2 linked regions of the Saccharomyces cerevisiae S288C genome follow. The protein of the gene in region 2 interacts with the protein of the main gene of each other region in a biochemical or structural test. Each region holds a gene or a part of one and is shown on either strand. Other genes may lie near its edges. The genes, in order: IKS1 and NCB2.

Region 1 (4,411 bases), on a different chromosome or scaffold from region 2:
TCATCTTTACGAAAACCTACAAACACTTTGCAAGGTACAAATCATGCTTATCACGAACATATCTTAAATACTGATATGGATTTGAAGATTTTGGAAGATTTATGCAATATTTCTTCTTTGTATGAAGTACCGTTTGGAAAACACATTAACCACCACGACCACAATAATGCCGGTAACGGCTGCGATGGTTCGAGCACAGGAAATAATGAAAACGGTAACCAAACAATGAATCTTCTATTATCAAGCATTAATAGATGCAACCCTAAAAATAATCTTAATGGAAGCAATAACAATACGGCTGGAGCAACTTCAACTGATCATCAACACCATCACCATAGAATACAGTTTCATTCTCACAAACCAAATAGAAACAATATTGTGAACAATTCAGGGATTAGCGCGGCGAACACAACAGCCGATCTAACTAACAACGATTTAAATGACTTAATTTCAAGAGAGTATAGTTATGAAAGATTTAGAAATCAAAGTGAGCCCCCTTCGCTACCCAAAGTCACTCATCAGAATCAGAAAAATCGTAGATCTTGGCCTACAAAAGATCTAGAATCTACTGATTTCAGCTCTTTGGAAGACTCATTACCTTCTAGCATCTCTCCTCCTATACAGACAACAAGCACTATAAATTTCAACTGGTGTTTTAAAGAAGAGAAAAACAATGACTTAAAATGCAAATGGAAAGAATGTCCTGAGTCTTGTAGCTCACTATTTGACCTACAAAGACATCTTTTGAAGGATCATGTCTCTCAAGATTTCAAACACCCTATGGAACCATTAGCTTGTAATTGGGAGGACTGTGATTTCCTTGGAGATGATACATGTTCCATAGTGAACCATATTAATTGTCAACATGGTATCAATTTTGATATTCAATTTGCCAACCCAGACTCATTTTTGCCTGGTAGTATATCAAAGGAAAAACATCACTTACTACATTGCCCCAACCCACAAACACACGAAGTTTCTAAAGCAGATGGAGCACCTGATATGACGTCTGCAAATGATGTTTCCAATATACCGCCAATCAAGCAGCCGGAACAGGTGATTTGCCAATGGGATGGTTGCAATAAGTCATTTTCCAGTGCTCAGGAATTAAACGACCATTTAGAAGCAGTACATTTAACCCGGGGTAAGTCTGAATACCAATGCTTGTGGCATGACTGCCATCGTACGTTCCCCCAAAGACAAAAATTAATCCGTCATTTAAAAGTGCATTCGAAATACAAACCTTATAAGTGCAAGACATGTAAAAGGTGTTTTTCAAGCGAAGAAACTTTAGTTCAGCATACCAGGACACACTCTGGCGAAAAACCTTACAAATGTCACATTTGTAATAAAAAATTCGCGATTTCAAGTTCTTTGAAGATTCATATAAGAACCCATACTGGTGAAAAACCTTTACAATGCAAGATTTGTGGTAAGAGATTCAACGAATCGTCAAATTTGAGCAAACATATTAAGACCCATCAGAAAAAATACAAGTGCTCTGACTGTTCCAAAAGCTTTGACGATTTGGGAAAATTGAACTCACAGAAAGTGAAATGCGCATTGGAAAGAAAACCATATTTATAAATGTGATCATCATGGTCCAACGTAAGAAGGGCGGTTTTCAGGATCACATAAATGCATAATTAGAAACATTTCATATTTTACCTAGACTACTTTTTATTTATAATTTTTCGCAAACTCTTTTTTGTAAGCTTTTACAGTACACTTTTTTTACGTAATAACGTATTTCAAGCTTTATTTTTTGTATACGTTTCAGAAAAGGGGGTGGGGGGGAAGGACATTGTATATATAGATCCTATGAGTGACAACTAGGTAACCGAAGAAACACTATTAGATATATAGTTTGAGGGATAGCATAAGTAGAACTTAGAAATGAGTTTAGTACCATATGAAGAAGGTTCGCTGATTTTAGATGATCCTAATTCTAAATCAGTGGTGGTTGTTAATCCAACCTCAGGAACTTTATCATTTTTCCAACAGGACAACAGTAATAATGACTCTGAACTAAATGAAGACCAGACTGCATCTTTATCAGCACTGGACTTTCCTTCAGGGATTCATCAATACAAAAGCCCTATTGCTTCCTATGTGTGCCCGCAATGTGGTACGGAAATTAACCCTGATATTATAAACAGAAGACAACTTCATCGTCGAGCCTCTGCTGGAGTAGAATCAGAAAGCAGTAGGCTCAGTATTCCAGAGAACACTGTGCCACTTGGATTTGAATTTGCCAATTCAAGCTTTTCAAGAAGATATTTTCAGTCATTGGAAAGAAATCATCGGCACTACGCCCTACAAAACGATAGTAACAATAAGCAGGGACAGTTCAGCAAAAACAAATACTTTATTCCAGATGATTTGTTTATCCCCGGATACTTTCGTAAATTTTTCAAAATATTGTCTTTGCTGGGAAATGGTGCAAGAGGTTCTGTTTACAAAGTTGTACACACAATTGGTAATACTGAATTAGGTGTTTTTGCACTAAAAAAAATACCTATTGGAAATGATATGGAATGGTTTAATAAGTGCATACGGGAAGTGAAAGCGTTGAGTTCGCTAACTCACAAAAGTGCCAATTTGATTACGTATAATCATGTGTGGCTCGAAATGGATTCTTCGGTTGGATTTGTCAGATCCATTGATGGGAGCCAATCGGATTCACAAGAAGAAGTTCCTTGTATTTTCATTTTACAACAGTATTGCAGTGGCGGCAATTTAGAAGACTGTATTCTAAGAAAAGTGTTCAATAGGTTCTCAGATACCGAATCACCTGAAGAGAGGAAAAAAAAATTTAGAACTCGCAAGAAAAATCACGGTAAATCAGGAGAAGTTGGCCTATCTACGGAACAGCTCGTATCCATTATAAGGGATATTGCAAGAGGTTTACACGAACTGCACAGTATTGGCCTAATACATAGGGACTTGAAACCATCCAACTGTTTATTATTGACTCCATTTAAAAGTGACAATGAGAATGACAACGTATACGACAGGGAACACAATTCAGATGAGTTTTTCCCATCAATTGTTATTGGCGATTTGGGGGAAAGTCAGTTGGAAGGAGAGTCCAGATTGGGTACTGGTTGCACAGGAACATTAGAGTTTACAGCACCAGACCTTATTATCCAGGGGAGACCAGTTTCTTCTTCTACGTTGCCTTCAAGATCGAGTCACACATACAATGAATACACCTTTGCTTCCGATATGTATTCTCTAGGAATGATTTGCTATTTTATTGTCTTCGGTGAATTGCCCTTTGAACCACAGTTGGATATAGTTGATTTGAAGGTACGCATCAAAAATTTTAGGTTCGACACTGAAGGTATGATTGAAAAGCATCAAGCGATGAAATTGAAACCAATAGACCGTAGAATATTTCACCTAATGGACGCTCTTTTACAACCAAATAATGATGCTAGACCCACAGCGAAGACAGTGGAGGAGACGTTAGATGAAATGCTAATAAATTCCAAACCCGGCAAAAAATTCTGGAAAGAAAATGTGGATAGCACTTTGAACTTCAGTACAATCTCGGAAGTGAATGAGAATACCAACAGTTTTACTGATGATTATATTGACGGAGACAACGTTACTTTATCATTACCAGCACCAGAGGAAAATTTGAGCACCGTATCAACCCAAAACCTCCAAAAGTATTCTGCTTTAAATAGAACAATCCAGGTTTGTTACAAACTAGTTTCTATGATATTAACGATAATCATATTTAAGTGTACCAAAACGGGGTCGTGGCTCTCTTATATGTCACTGATATTGTTGGGAATGGTTTTTAAATCACCAGCTGATGAAAGAGGTAAGCATGCAAGAGCGTTGGTTTTACTGGCCTTCATCGCCGCATGCAAAAAATACATATACTAACAATAAGTACACATTGCAAACTAAATAGCACGTAATTTATTTTTACTTTACAAATTTATAGAAAATATTCTCGCTTATCACCAATGTTCACGAATCATCTTCACCTCTTCTAAGGGCCGGTGACAAAGGTGCATAATGTTAGAAAAATTGACCGATGAGTAAATTTATAGAGGGAATAACCAAATGAAAAGATCTAGGTGACAGAAACGCCAATTGACCTCTGTAGAAATAAAGTTCTTTCATTATGACAGCAGAAGATATACTCCTTCGAGAAAGAACATCTACTACGACACAACGCCCTGTCAATAGCGAACAATACCTTAATGTGCAATTAGCCACAGCCCCAGTAAAAAATTTTCAGACTACAAGCGAGATTAGCCGGCAAACTCTTGTAGACACATCAAATGATGACGTTTATTCCATCAAGAATTTGAAGGGCTCGAGGAACCCCATTAGCCCTAGTGTTTCTAACGTTGGCTTCCAATCCATATTCCATACAGTAGATCATCCT
Region 2 (3,074 bases):
TCTCTTTCCCAGCTCTTTATAGCGTCATCAACATGCTTGAAGTTATCTCCAGAGGTGACTCTTGCATTACCTTCCACGTAGTTGGTGGCTGAGGCAAGATCTTTACCGTGTAGATCGCGATCGGCGGACTTATTTTTATTATTCCAATTTAGGGAAATTTCGACGGTATATTCATTAGGGATTTCTCTCCACTGCAAGTTCTTGAAGTAAGGCATAGTAGCATTTTGTAACCACGATACGTTCAAAAGGTCTTTATTAATAAATGCGTTATAAATTGGAACTTTCCTGCCGTCTTTACTGACGATTTGAATCTTTTTGCTGGATTTTTTGGACTTGTTGCCTCTTTTCTTTGTTGAACTCGATACCAATGGATCAACAAAAATTTCCAAGCTACCATCCTCGGTAGTGACTGCGATAGAATCGGCTTGGCCTGAATGAGATAACTCCTTGATATCTGATTCAGCCACAAGGACGCATTTGGTCATACCGGAATGAATATCATATACGTTCAAGAATCTATCACCCTCTGCGCCTGATATGAAAAATTCATTAGTTATAACTTGCAATGTGGACACTGGAGATACATGACCGGGAAATGTCATTACGACTTTTTTCTCTTCGATGTCTATTAAAGAAATGGAATGGGATGCAACCAAAAGTTGTGCAACAGAATCGCCTGCTGGAACAATGGTTAGTTTATTCAATTGAACGCAGTTGTTTATTCTAAAATGTTGTAACAGTTTGAATTGTAACAGATCGAACTGATAGAATGCGTCGCTGGAGTCGATACACCACAGTTGATTACCCATCAAGTCTATGTCTTTGATTTCGTAAGAATTCCCCGTAGTGAATTTATAGGTGACTTCGTTGGCCAATACGGAATATAGCCAAATTTCACCGTTATTCATACCCAATATAATAGCCACTGTGTCGGAAGAAGCCAGGTTTACCCATTTTAAGCACGTCACCTTCAATTTCGAGTCCTCTAAATACAGAAAATTCTCATTCCACACTGTATCAACTCCGGAGGAAGTGGCCCTTTGAGTGGGCTGTACACCAACGCGTTGCTTGTCCAAAGCTACAGTGACATAACACAAATACTGACCTGATGGGTCATAAGCGGACTGTAGAACAGGAGAATCCATCGGTAATGAACAATTATAAGGCAAATGTGTCTTTTACCCTCTTGCTAAGCCAAGTTTAAACTATATATGCTCTGCATCTATCTTTACATACATATATCCTATCCAATACTTGTTAATTTTTTCACCTCATCGCTTCAGCTGCGAAAGATTAGAAAAAGAAATGAAAAAAAATTGGATAAAATTTTTTTGTCAAGAAGCTCATCCCCGTGTTAAATGACAATCAAAGAATAAGGGGAACTGTACAACACGTTCAACCAAAACTATTGTAAAGAAATGCCACCACTATGCAGCATAGCCTGTTCATGCGAATAGTCGCCGCAAAAATTACGATCTGGTTTAATCAGCTCGGGCTCTTATCTTTGGCGTATTCCAGTATGTGCAATTAACTCTTGCACCACTTTAAAACGCCCAGCCCGCTGCACTCTCCCTCCTATATAAATGGAAGCGGTTTTTGGTCGCGCTTTTCGCCCTCTGCTCGCCTTGTCGATTTCTATCGTGCAGAGTTACCAGTATAAGGTGGGCAAGAAATCATAACGATATTTACTAATACAGTTGTACCTATTAATTAATTGATGGCTGGAGACTCCGATAATGTGTCGCTTCCCAAGGGTATGTTAGTTATATTGTTGTTGCAAAACTCAAGCTTTGATGCGGGTACTGAGCGGTTATACTAACTTAGAGAAAACACTGAATGATCTTAGCGACCGTACAAAAGATGATATCTGAAATACTGGACCAGGATTTGATGTTTACCAAGGATGCAAGAGAAATCATCATCAACTCCGGCATAGAATTCATAATGATCCTGTCCTCGATGGCTTCCGAAATGGCGGACAACGAGGCTAAGAAAACCATAGCGCCCGAGCACGTGATCAAAGCGCTAGAAGAGTTGGAGTATAATGAGTTTATACCATTCTTAGAGGAAATATTATTGAATTTTAAGGGTTCCCAGAAGGTGAAAGAAACTAGGGATTCCAAGTTCAAGAAGTCAGGTCTCTCGGAAGAAGAGCTGCTACGACAACAAGAGGAGTTGTTTAGACAGTCAAGGTCCAGATTACACCACAATAGTGTATCTGATCCGGTTAAGTCGGAGGATTCTTCTTGAATAGAAGCTTCTAAACAAAGTAATGCTATATACGAAAATAAACCACATGGGAATATGTTAAGCGCATGCATGTATGTAATAAAAACGAAGACAAGTCCAAAAAAAAAAAAGAACGAAAAAGAAACAACTTTTATATTTGTATATTAGAGTATAAACTAATATCCTTATTTCAAACTATCACATTCCACTATTTTTTTTGTGTTCTCCTCAGTGTTGAGAAACAAATTCCAGAATTACCTGCAAGGAATCTCTCTTAGATTCATCCAGATAATTTATGATTTTTTCGTACTTACCGGCATCTTCGTTTTGCAAATTCTTGAAAAAGGTATGTACTTCCTGGAAAACATTAATTTGGTCTAACACTGTCTCCTTCATATCATCATCACATTCGATAAAGTATTCTTCTTCTTCTTCTGGGGTCAGGTCTCCTTCTAAGGATTTGCCCTCGGTAACAGCATCACGGTTTCTAATTGCCTTTGGCAATGATAATGTCAATTCCACCAGTTTATTGGTCAGGTTATTTAGTAGTGGGCTGACACTATTAGGAACTTCAGGCATCTTCAAAAGGGTTAAAATGACCAGGACTTGTAATTTGATGGCGAAGACACTGTAGAACTTTTCATTAAACCAATTGGTAAAGAAATTTATAGTAAAACCTTCATTTTCCATTATTTGTAAAGTTTCGATTGGTTTAGCAAACAAATTGGCCAGTCCCAGTTTAACGATGCATTTAGAGTCCAATCCTAGCTCATCATTAGTGGATACTTTGATGGCTTTGCTGAATAATGGAATGTCTCTCATGGACAGTGCGAAGTACATTAGAA

Evidence for each region.
Region 1: the proteins of NCB2 (region 2) and IKS1 form a complex in vitro, tested with the Saccharomyces cerevisiae proteins (one large-scale study listed by BioGRID).

Annotation. Positions count from the first base shown.
Region 1 is NC_001142.9:327,607-332,017, reverse strand, and holds IKS1 (protein kinase IKS1), read left to right. Parts: upstream 1-1,896; coding exon 1,897-3,900; downstream 3,901-4,411. Other genes in the region: ZAP1 (Zap1p), read left to right, coding at 1-1,587; BIT61 (Bit61p), read left to right, coding at 4,145-4,411.
Region 2 is NC_001136.10:1,265,542-1,268,615, reverse strand, and holds NCB2 (negative cofactor 2 transcription regulator complex subunit NCB2), read left to right. Parts: upstream 1-1,717; coding exon 1,718-1,754; intron 1,755-1,846; coding exon 1,847-2,250; downstream 2,251-3,074. Other genes in the region: UTP5 (Utp5p), read right to left, coding at 1-1,145; SXM1 (Sxm1p), read right to left, coding at 2,458-3,074. UniProt on the Saccharomyces cerevisiae protein: Component of the NC2 complex which represses RNA polymerase II transcription through binding to SPT15/TBP and thereby inhibiting the assembly of the preinitiation complex.